4 linked regions of the Saccharomyces cerevisiae S288C genome follow. The gene in region 2 interacts genetically with the main gene of each other region. Each region holds a gene or a part of one and is shown on either strand. Other genes may lie near its edges.

Region 1 (3,519 bases), 1.0 Mb from region 2:
CTCCTGATAAAGGCAGCACTAATAAAAATGAAATACGGACACCTAATAACGCTGTTTGGAAAGAAAATATAGAACTTCAATGGCAGCACTTGAAAAAGAAATTAAATGAATTGTATTCTAGGTTTAACTTCCACCGAGATCAATTATCCTTTCAAGTTAACAAGGCCAAAAAATCAATTCAAGAGGCAAACAGGAAGTTGTCTGAGCAAGAGAATGAAATCAACGATTCCCGTTTAAACTATAATAAAGATGAATTGACCAGTGCGAAAATTGAAGGATTGCCCTCCGAAAGGGAACAACATAGAAAAAAATGGTCTAGAAAGTTAGAGTTTTATTTTGACTCATTACAGGAGACGTTATTTACTGCCACACGTGCTTTAAATGATGTGACCGGTTATTCTGGAATTCAAAAGCTCAAATCTAGCATCAGTCTAATGGAAAAAAAATTAGAAGCTACAAAGAAAGAACACAAACTGTTTAAGGCACAGTACGCTAACGCCATTGATGAACGTGCTCAATCCCAAAGAGAAGTTAACGAATTATTGCAAAGGCAAAGCGCGTGGTCTTCGAGCGATTTAGAGAGATTTACGCAGCTATACAAAAATGACGCCTTGAATGCTAGACAGGAGCAAGAACTAAAAAACAAGGTTAAAGAAATTGAAAGCAAAGAAGAACAACTAAATGACGACTTGTATAGAGCAATTTTGACCAGGTACCATGAGGAACAAATATGGTCAGACAAAATCCGAAGAACATCCACCTGGGGTACATTCATCTTAATGGGTATGAATATATTCTTGTTTATTGTCCTACAATTACTATTAGAACCTTGGAAACGGAAAAGGTTAGTAGGATCGTTTGAAGACAAAGTCAAAAGCGCTCTCAACGAATATGCCAAGGAGCAGAATATGAAGATGGATAAATTGTTACCTGGAAAATCATCGGAAGTAACAGACCAAGGCAACACAGAAAACTCGATCGTTGAAGAGCACATAGAACAGAGAGGTGAATGTAAAATTAATACGGCGGAAATCGACAGGCCTGAAGTTGCAACGGCTGAGACCACTACAACAGAAATGAAATCCTTCAGAGATATTTGGGAACGAATAAAGGCACTTTTTGTCACACTAAAAAGCATACAATATAGGAAACTTGACGCTCCCCTAGTCTTTGACACCTTAGAGTTCTACTTATACTCAATTTCTTTAGTGAGTATGACAATCTTGGTATCCGGGCTGATATGACATGATATACTGCGCAAGAATATCGTTAAAAAAACACGCATGCATTTTTTTCATCCTTTATCCTTGTACATAATAAAATCATAAATACACAGTAAATAGCACGTTTTGGTTTCAATATCCTTAACCTTACCTAGCTAATGTTTAGCTGGTGTAATCCATTATAATCAAAATTTCTCTAATGTTTGGCTCTTCGTAGCGCGCGATGTGCCCTTTCATATTTTTCCTGAAAGTAAGGTGGCAAAATAGTAAATCTGCAGTAATTGGGTATAGCCATGAATATAGGAAGTAATAGGGCTCAGATTCTCAGTGTGTGGACAAACCAATTCTGCCTATTTCCTTTCACTCATAAGTTATACAAGAGGCAATCGGATAAAATTCAAGTATTTATAAAGTAAAAACCACAACAAGAATGGAGGAACTAGGTATTGTGACACCTGTCGAAAAGGCAGTCGAAGAAAAACCAGCCGTCAAATCATACGCATCATTGTTGGCTCAACTCAATGGTACAGTCAACAATAACAGTGCCCTGTCTAATGTGAATTCTGATATATATTTCAAATTGAAGAAATTAGAAAAAGAGTATGAACTGCTGACTTTGCAAGAAGACTATATTAAGGACGAACAACGCCATTTGAAACGTGAATTGAAGAGAGCTCAAGAAGAAGTAAAGAGAATCCAGTCGGTTCCATTAGTTATCGGGCAATTCTTAGAACCTATTGATCAGAACACAGGTATTGTTTCTAGTACCACAGGTATGAGTTATGTCGTTAGAATATTATCAACCCTAGACCGTGAACTATTAAAGCCATCTATGTCTGTAGCTTTACATCGTCATTCAAATGCTTTAGTTGACATCCTACCACCTGATTCCGACTCTAGCATATCCGTAATGGGCGAAAACGAAAAACCTGACGTCACTTATGCAGATGTTGGTGGGTTAGATATGCAAAAGCAAGAAATCAGGGAAGCCGTAGAGCTGCCATTAGTTCAGGCTGATCTATACGAGCAAATCGGTATTGACCCTCCTAGGGGTGTTCTATTATATGGTCCACCAGGTACCGGTAAGACGATGCTTGTTAAAGCCGTCGCCAATAGTACAAAAGCTGCATTCATAAGAGTTAATGGCTCCGAATTTGTTCACAAATATCTTGGTGAAGGTCCAAGAATGGTTCGTGACGTCTTTAGACTCGCCAGGGAAAATGCTCCATCCATTATATTCATAGATGAGGTAGATTCCATTGCCACAAAGCGTTTTGATGCTCAAACGGGTTCCGATCGTGAAGTACAGCGTATCCTGATTGAGTTGTTGACACAAATGGATGGTTTCGATCAATCCACCAACGTTAAAGTCATCATGGCTACAAACAGGGCAGACACATTGGACCCAGCTTTGCTGAGACCAGGCAGATTAGATAGAAAGATTGAGTTTCCCTCACTTCGTGATAGGCGTGAACGTCGTTTGATTTTCGGTACCATTGCCAGTAAGATGTCCCTTGCCCCAGAAGCGGACTTAGACTCGCTTATTATTCGTAACGACTCTCTATCAGGTGCTGTTATTGCAGCGATCATGCAGGAAGCTGGTTTAAGAGCAGTGAGGAAAAACAGATATGTCATCTTACAAAGCGATCTGGAAGAAGCTTACGCCACTCAAGTCAAGACAGATAATACCGTCGATAAATTCGACTTCTACAAATGATTACCATATATGCTTCAACGTAGGTCTACATAAAGTATTACGTACATTTCTATCTAGACAACACTAAATGAAATAAATACAGACGCCACTTTTTTATCACGTTTCTTAGCGTTATTCCGCGCGCAACCGGACGTCGCTAGCCAAGTTTTTCACTTTTTTTTTTCTGTGATATTTTTTTTTCCAAATGAGATGGTAAGATGAGTACCTATCAACAAGTATCTCAATCAATAAAGTACAACCAAAATATCAAGTACGCAGTCTCTGCTTCATCCCAGTGTAGATTTGCTATTCGATTTGTGTCATAAACATTTAACATTGCGCCCGTCTACAACAAAGGAGATAAATCAAAAAAGGAAATGGTACAAGAACAGGCAATTTTGAGCTGCATTGAGCAGACTATGGTTGCTGATGCAAAAATTATCAAAGAGGCAGAACAGCAGTTATTTGAGTTCCAGAAGCAACCTGGGTTTACTTCTTTTCTGCTTAATATAGTGTCTGATGATAATTTTGCGCTAAATGTTCGTCTTTCTTCTGCTATTTATTTGAAGAATAAGATTCACAGATCATGGGATACTAAGA
Region 2 (2,986 bases):
ATCATATGTTCGGCGGATAAACCAGTATTTCAATCAAACCTACAGGCACAACAAAAGTTTATTGCAGAGTTGTCCTTGCACCACATTAAGCCACGCTATGTATGGATAGTGGATATTGTCAGTCAAATACTATTTAATAAAGAAACTAAGGTAACTTTTGAGATAGTAGTCGGCAATTCAAAGGCCTCTTTGAAAAGAAAAATACGATGTAATGATTCATTGCCTGATAAAGCCTGCAATATTTTACACACAGGATTATCGGTGCATAGACTTACCACCGCAGATATATGGAAAGTACCACGACCCATAGACATGTCGCAAAAATCCCATTTAGTCATTCTCACGCATGGTTTTCAATCAAACGTTTCGGCAGATATGGAATACTTAATGGAAGAAATATACAAGGCTCAAATGAACAATCCAAATGAGCGACTAGTTATTAAGGGATATATGAAGAATGCTTGTGAGACTGAGAAGGGTATTAAGTTTTTGGGTGTTGGATTGGCAAACTACATCATCGACGAGTTATATGATGACTCTGTTGGGAAAATTTCATTTATTGGTCATTCCCTGGGTGGATTAACACAAACTTTTGCTATTTGTTACATAAAGACCAAATATCCATATTTCTTTAAGAAAGTGGAGCCAATCAATTTTATCTCACTGGCGTCACCATTGCTAGGCATTGCTACCAGCACGCCCAATTACGTAAAAATGTCATTGTCGATGGGTATCATTGGTACTACGGGGCAAGAACTGGGTCTTAAGGATGGAAATTATGGTGATAAGCCCCTACTTTACCTGCTATCCGAGGAATCCTTAATCAGTGTGCTTGCTCGATTCAAAAGAAGAACACTTTATGCTAATGCCGTCAACGACGGAATAGTTCCCTTGTACTCCTCTTCTTTACTTTTTTTGGACTACTCTCAATTACTTCAGAAACTGGGAGGTCAAACTACGGCACCTTGTGATCCTCTCTTCCAGCCTGAAGTAAGTCCTATTGGGGAACTTCCAAATCATAGCGATGTTGCTAATGATGATGATGGAATCAATGCATCGTCATGGAACACGTTTTGGAAGAGCAAGGAAAATAACTGCGACAAGAAATCTAAACGCTTGATGAATGCTTCCGTCATCAAATCTATGAAGTCTGTGCTTCTATCACCATGCCCCGACGCAAAGTTCTTCTCAGATCCCGATGCAAGGGTCGCAACAATCATACATGATAAGATCTACACAGAAAAGAATTTACCGCCTCCATCACCAACACTTTATGAAGGAACAGCAGCCAAGGAAGGCGAAACGAGGAAGACGAGAAAAGAGATGGAGGAAATCATAGCACGCCGCTGGCACAAGGGGATGCATTGGAGGAAAGTCGTGGTATTGCTGAAACCAGATGCCCACAATAACATCATCGTAAGAAGAAGGTTTTCCAACGCTTACGGCTGGCCGGTGGTTGACCACCTTGTTACCGCCCATTTCCAAAGAGATGACCCAATCGCCTCACCAATGCAAGATAAACAGTTTGCTGAGGAAGATATAAACATGGCAACCGGAGGGGTGGAACCAAACAAGTTCTACTCATGGCTCACCAAGATCGAGGATCCTAGTGTGTACCATGGTGGAATAGTCTCCACAGCTAGCCAGCTCGCCAGCTCCTGGATTAGCAAGCATTCCTCTGTGACAGATTGACTGTCTATCTTGACGTCATCCCGGGATTGACTTGCAATTTACTATTGTCCACACCTACGAAAGTCCATTTTACTTCGTAGTTCGATAAATGCGCTTACGGGTCTTTTTCGAGCGGGACAACTCTTCAGCTCCTCCCCTAAAACCGAGGCCGAATATCCCTTCTCCATATAAATAAGACACTTTTCACCAGGAAAACAATACTTCAGAAGCTTATTTCTCTTGACAAAAAGAGGGGTAAGATCTTTATAAAACATAAAGCAAATCAAAACATAATAACTACTACAAGTAACATAATGTGCTCAGCAGGCGGTATCAGAAGACCAATCCAGATCGAAGAATTTAAGACGGCGATAAGCGGCATGTCCGACATGGAGTTGGCACAGATTAAAACAGAAATTGAGAACAGTATCAATCATTTGCAGAGGTCTAACGCCCGCTTGGGTAAATACATAGCTAAGTTGGAGGGTGCTGACGACCGTCTTGAAGCTGACGACAGCGACGACTTGGAGAACATTGATTCGGGAGACCTGGCGCTGTACAAGGACTCTGTCAGGGAGAACGAAATTGTGCTAAACAATTACAATGAGAGAGTGGACGCATTGGAGCAAGAAACGGTATATAGAAAGACGGGCCATGGCAAGAGTAAGCACGAGGTAGAGGCAAAGGACAACACCAACAAGGGCCCTGACGTTGACATGGACAATTCAAATGTGGACGTCGTGACACCAAACAGCATATTCATTTAAGAGACGGGATTTAGTTTTACTGCGCATCATTTTCACGTCATACTCTTTGTCTCTCTGTTCTATCTCTTCGTATAAATATTTCAATAACTCCATTTGTCTATTCTATCTACCCGTTCTATCCTTACTACTAGATATCTTAAAGAAATAATAAAATAAGTAAATACAAAAAAAACTCGCTATTAATAATTTATCTCCGAAAGCCCTAGGGTGTGCTTTTCTTCCGTGCCCTAGTCTATTATTTTGAACCCTAGTTGGCGAAATTTTTTTCTAATATTCAGAAAAAAGAAACGTAGAGCTTATATGGTGAAGGAGTACAATGATACTAATAGTCTGTAGACGGCAAAAGGCATTCTTTTTGACTAGCACAACGACAGTTTGAGATTCTGTTGAAATAATCATTTATGTCTCTTTCGGTCGCCGAAAAGTCGTACCTATACGATTCACTAGCAAGCACGCCTTCAATTAGGCCCGATGGAAGACTACCTCATCAATTCAGACCTATAGAAATATTTACTGACTTCCTACCAAGTTCCAATGGATCGTCCAGA
Region 3 (2,829 bases), on a different chromosome or scaffold from region 2:
TACCTGATTGAGGTTGGTAAAGATGAGGAAGCGAAACGTTCACTTTCGAAATCCAACAAAGTCTCAGTCGACGATCCAGCCTTGTTAGCAGAATATGACACTATAAAGGCGGGAATCGAACTTGAAAAGCTGGCAGGTAACGCATCATGGTCTGAACTACTCTCCACTAAAACAAAGGTCTTTCAGCGTGTTCTCATGGGAGTGATGATCCAATCGCTGCAGCAATTAACCGGTGATAACTACTTCTTTTACTACGGCACCACCATCTTCAAATCTGTCGGTCTAAAGGACTCCTTTCAGACTTCGATCATTATCGGTGTGGTTAATTTTTTCTCTTCATTCATAGCGGTATACACCATTGAGAGGTTTGGACGCCGTACGTGTCTATTGTGGGGTGCTGCTTCTATGCTATGCTGCTTTGCTGTGTTTGCCTCCGTCGGTGTGACAAAGTTGTGGCCTCAAGGAAGCAGTCACCAAGACATTACTTCTCAGGGCGCCGGTAACTGTATGATTGTGTTTACTATGTTCTTCATTTTTTCGTTCGCCACCACTTGGGCAGGCGGCTGTTACGTTATTGTCTCAGAGACGTTTCCTCTTAGGGTCAAATCAAGAGGAATGGCAATCGCAACAGCTGCAAACTGGATGTGGGGTTTCCTGATTAGTTTCTTTACCCCATTCATTACCGGGGCAATCAACTTTTACTACGGTTATGTATTCTTAGGCTGTCTGGTTTTTGCATACTTTTATGTCTTTTTCTTTGTCCCAGAAACAAAAGGCCTGACGCTGGAGGAGGTGAATACTATGTGGCTGGAAGGTGTGCCAGCATGGAAATCAGCCTCATGGGTGCCACCAGAAAGAAGAACCGCAGATTACGATGCTGACGCCATAGACCATGACGATAGACCAATCTACAAGAGGTTCTTTTCCAGCTAATCTTCCGGTTTTTAGTAACTGGAAAAAAATACATGAACTTAATTATTTATTATATACAATATTTACTTTTTTACGCCTTAATCCTTAACGGACTATTTGTTATGCCTTATAGAACTAGAAATTATATGATAAACATGAGCTACACGAGTTGACAGGGTGAACAGATTACTATAGCATCTTTCTCTCATGAATAATTTTTAAAATGTATAAATTTTGTAACGTTCCGAAGGGTGGAGTGAAATTCCATTCAAGAAACCAAGCATTGAGACAGAACAGTACAGAGTTCAGTTGTTGCGGACCGAGAATTGTAACAAGTAGCCCCAGAAACATTCATATGACGTCTGTTTCAAATTAAGCTTAGTAAAAGTACACATTTACCATAAAAAAATAGTACCAAGTCGGTGGCCTGATATCCTTATTTTCCTTCTGCCAATTGGGCAAGTTGGTACTAATATTTTAGGTGACACTGCCACTTTATTGTTATGGATTGAAATTTCTTAAATGTTCTCACAATCGGCCATAACGCTATTTCTCCGACGTAACCTCCTGTCATAGTGTGCCGTGCCTGAATAACTTAAAAAATTAAAGTTTTCAATGTGCCCAAAAAAATTCACAAATAGTACGCGCTCGTTAAACACCCTGTGACGCTGGGCCAGGCACTATTTAGCATTACTTCGAAAAGACGCAAGTATAAAGAGTGAGATCTCACGTACTACAACAAGAACATAGAGAAGCATTCTAATAAGCATATAAACAAGGCTTCTAGAGAAAAATGGGCGTATTAGAAAATATAGTACCTGGTGAGCTTTATGATGCGAACTATGATCCAGATCTTTTGAAAATTAGAAAAGAGACTAAAATAAAATTGCACGAATACAACACCCTTAGCCCCGCTGATGAGAATAAAAAGAGCCAGGTAATAAGAGAATTACTTGGTAGTTGCACTGATAACTTTATAATTGAACCGCCGTTTTACTGTGATTACGGAAGTAACATCTATATCGGAGACAACTTTTACGCCAATCACAATCTTGTTATATTGGATGGGGCCAAGGTAGTCATCGGTGACAACGTATTTATCGCCCCTAATGTTGGTATTTATACGGCAGGTCATCCAATTGACGTGGAAAGACGGCTTCAAGGATTAGAATATGCCATGCCTGTGACCATTGGAGACAATGTATGGATTGGAGGTGGAGTGTCAATAATTCCTGGAGTAAATATAGGTAAAAACTCCGTGATTGCCGCCGGTAGTGTTGTGATTCGTGACATACCAGAAAATGTAGTGGCAGCAGGTAATCCTTGTAAGGTGATAAGAAAGATCACTGAAAAAGATAGTACAACTACAAACTATCGAAAATGATGGATCCACTTTCTGGAGGAATTATCGAAAGCAAGTGTTGTCTTCTATGATTATGTACCGTATTTTCTTATAAGAATAAATAAAAAGCTAGTTCAGTTTTAGTCGACTAAATACGCAGAGAGATTATTAATTATTGGTATATGTTCTGGTTTAAGTTGCTCATTCTCAACTCGACTGTGTATAGTAGCTTCTTTCTGGTATAATCTATCTTCGAGGAGAAAATTATAGTTTACAACTTATGTAAAACTGCTCAAGTTCCAACCGTATAGAAAACGCGTGGCTGGTAGCTTTATGTTCGGATTTGAGAAATTTTCGGGGAAATAAGTACCGTTCTAATTTTTCAGCGCAAATTAACATGCGGAGAAACTTTAAACTGAAAATATGGCCACCTGCATGCGTCCATATGAAAGGGTCATCAAATAGCCTCGAACAAAACAAGTAACATTTTCGATGGAGTTAGAAAGGGATGATCCTATACGCACAGATTTCCTAGGTATTTAACCTGACCTAATATTAACAAAAGTCCAAGTGAC
Region 4 (2,955 bases), on a different chromosome or scaffold from region 2:
GGGGGTGTTTTGCTGGGGAGGTAATATGTGGAAAGGTTGCATTGATGGCCCAAGATTAGGATTTATTAAATCCATCCTAACATTTGGACCCGCCTTGTCGTTATCGGTGGTGGGCTTACCACCATCATTCTTCATATCTGAAAAGGCAACAGAATTTGAACTAGGGTTTAAAACTGGTGCAAGATGAATTGGCGATTGGGTTAGAGGAATTGGAGAATTTGCATTTAGTGAATGACTCGTAGGATTTAAAATCGGAGAGAAAGGTTGAAATTGCGCGCCCATTTCATAAGAATTAGGAAAAGGTGATCTAATACCATAGATAGGGGAGGATATATTATGTGGGTGGCCTGGCATAATAGGATTTGGTTGAAGTAAAGGTCCCCCATATGGATATGCTGCACCATAAGTTGTAGGACTCTCTTTTTTAGCTGGTGCAGTTTTATTAATCAAATCCTCCTTCGAGGTTTCTATTTTGAAATCGGATAATTTCTCAGAAACACTATTGGTTGGGGGTATAAATGACGTTGAGGAGGGAGTATTATCAAAAGATATGGATTGAGTTCTGGTTTTTGCAGTATTGTTAGCTCCTACAGACGGTTTCTTAGCCTTAGAAAAATTCTGCATGTCAGATTGGAAGTCCTTTGACAAGGTTACATTGTTGGCCGCATTGATAAGGTCAGTTGGTGATAAAGCATGAAAAGTTTGTCTTCTGAACGAACTAGCCTTATTATTAGACTCCCTGCCCTTAGATGGTAGGCTTTCTTGTAGAGTAGCGGTGGTTTCTTCAATGGCTACAGATGCTGATCCTGGTACGTTTGAATGAGTCCATAACGGATCAGCCGATGCGATTGGCAATACCTTCATTGAATTGTCATTTATCAATGGGTTTAGATTTTGTCCACCTTGAGTTGCTACCGCAGCACCCGAAGACAGCATTTGAAATGGAAGTGAGTCATTCTTGAATAACATTGGTGGACCGCCTGCATTCAAGGGCGAGCTACTCAATGGTGCTGTTGGATCATTAAAATCAGGGGGCGGAAAAAATGGACAAGGATTATGAGGAACCTGCATCATTTGAGAGTAGGGCATGAAGCCCATTCCACCCATCATTTGTGGATGTGGAAACATTTGCGACGGAGGGCCATTAGCGAATTGAGAATCTTGAGAAACTTTATTCGCAAATGCATTAGAGGTGGCGTTTTCCTCTGGATCATCTAGTTGCAACTGCTCTAAAGCAGAATTGACTGTTTCTGAAACGACAGGGTCTACTGATGGTACATCATCGATTTCTTCTTTCAAACCTTTTGTAGACATAACGTAGGTCCACTTAAAAATGTTACAGCGCTTAGTTCTCTCTTTCTTAAAAGATATCGAGGACAAAGAAACAGTAAGAACGGAAAATGAACAGAGACTCTTAAAAGAACCTAAAGAATAAGCGAAAATAAAATATGAAAAGAGAACTAGTGGACAATATCAACAGGAATTTTAAGTGTACTAAAAATAAATCGTCTGGAATAGTGTACAAAAACGAATAATATTAATGACGGCTCAAATCCTAACGTTGGAAACTAAAATACAATAAAAATAATGTACAATGTAATATACGGAAGAAAGTTTTTTTTCTGTTTCAACAAAAAAAAAAACTATTCAAAAAAAAGACGTGAGGTACTGTTTGCTGTTCACCTTCGGAGAGAGATAACCAACCGATATTCTCTTTGAGTCTGAGTGATTTGTTAAACAAGGTGCAACGAATAAGAATATAACTATACTATCTACTATATTGATCATTATTTTTTATTCTCTGGAGGACCCCAGAACAAAAAAAATATAGAAAAAAAACAATCGTCAAGAGTGACAAATACATGAGTAATAAGAAAAGGCGTCACAAATTAAAATTTGCAGTCACAAAGAGAAATAGACAGAGAATAGACTGTCTGGAATTAAGATGTCTTTTCTATCTGAGCTCCCAACAAGGCAACGGTATTGGACAGATATAATTCACAAATCACAATTCACTCCATGGAAGACACGATACGTCCATTAAATTACGCAGATATCGAGACCAGCGGGCCCATAAACCTTCTTGAGACAACTAATAACCTAAAAAGCTCGTTAAAAAAGTTTTCACAAAAGGCAAAGGGATCACACATTTCCAGAGAAAGGATTCACCATTTTAGAAAATGGAAAAATAAGACCGAATCACTTTCAGAAAACCATTTGAAGCCTCCTCCTGACGTCGACTCTCTATGTTTCAGTAACTGCTTTCAACCTGACGCCCTGTCTGGAAATGTATTTTTACCCCCCAGAAGCTCAAACATGTATTGGAATGAAAAGCAATTACAATTAGAAATGGAAATTCTAAAATTTTTATCACTAAATACTAGCAATGAATGCTGCACTTCTGATGATTAGCTTTTACACACATATATACTGCTACTATCTTTAAAGCACAAAAAAAAAATCTATCAAAAAGGATCAACGCATTACTAAATAAAATGTAACAAAGAATAGCCTTCACCCTCAGCGGAGAAATTCTTAACAAATCATCCTTGGTAATTTGGAAGTGTGGTACAATCCAACCACCACTGCAAAATAACATTTCCAGCTGCTCTGCTTCCTCTCGTAATAAGTAATTTATTAATAAATTTTTCATGACCTGCAGGATTGTTACATATTTGGGGCAAAACAGCAACGAGCCACTCTCTTGCTTCAATTGGAAACTTGGCTACCAAAGCTCTTAGCAGATCTGTGTAACTATTCAGATCGGACCTTTGTGTGTGGAATAAGCCATACATAATTTGGTACACAAGGTCTCCTCCTATAGAGGAAACTTGTTGCCTAACAGTTGTGAGTTCTTCTTGGTTGTATTTCTTATTATTGATCAACTTAGTCCAAAATTTTGCCACCGCAACAATTGTGAACTTTTCTCTTGAAGGTATTAATTTTAAAAATTGA

Evidence for each region.
Region 1: mutations in TMA17 (region 2) and RPT3 together harm fitness more than expected from each alone (negative genetic interaction), as found in Saccharomyces cerevisiae (2 studies listed by BioGRID).
Region 3: mutations in TMA17 (region 2) and YJL218W together harm fitness more than expected from each alone (negative genetic interaction), as found in Saccharomyces cerevisiae (2 studies listed by BioGRID).
Region 4: mutations in TMA17 (region 2) and BIL2 together harm fitness more than expected from each alone (negative genetic interaction), as found in Saccharomyces cerevisiae (2 studies listed by BioGRID).

What each region holds. Positions count from the first base shown.
Region 1 is NC_001136.10:1,260,028-1,263,546, forward strand, and holds RPT3 (proteasome regulatory particle base subunit RPT3), read left to right. Parts: upstream 1-1,653; coding exon 1,654-2,940; downstream 2,941-3,519. Other genes in the region: SHE9 (She9p), read left to right, coding at 1-1,244; SXM1 (Sxm1p), read left to right, coding at 3,297-3,519. UniProt on the Saccharomyces cerevisiae protein: The 26S proteasome is involved in the ATP-dependent degradation of ubiquitinated proteins. The regulatory (or ATPase) complex confers ATP dependency and substrate specificity to the 26S complex.
Region 2 is NC_001136.10:263,964-266,949, reverse strand, and holds TMA17 (Tma17p), read left to right. Parts: upstream 1-1,985; coding exon 1,986-2,438; downstream 2,439-2,986. Other genes in the region: YDL109C (putative lipase), read left to right, coding at 1-1,692; exosome non-catalytic core subunit RRP42, read left to right, coding at 2,840-2,986. UniProt on the Saccharomyces cerevisiae protein: ATPase-dedicated chaperone that assists the formation of the RPT6-RPT3 ATPase pair, an early step in proteasome assembly.
Region 3 is NC_001142.9:20,268-23,096, forward strand, and holds YJL218W (acetyltransferase), read left to right. Parts: upstream 1-1,705; coding exon 1,706-2,296; downstream 2,297-2,829. Other genes in the region: hexose transporter HXT9, read left to right, coding at 1-933.
Region 4 is NC_001139.9:464,500-467,454, reverse strand, and holds BIL2 (Bil2p), read left to right. Parts: upstream 1-2,019; coding exon 2,020-2,412; downstream 2,413-2,955. Other genes in the region: PUF4 (Puf4p), read right to left, coding at 1-1,314; KAP122 (Kap122p), read right to left, coding at 2,544-2,955.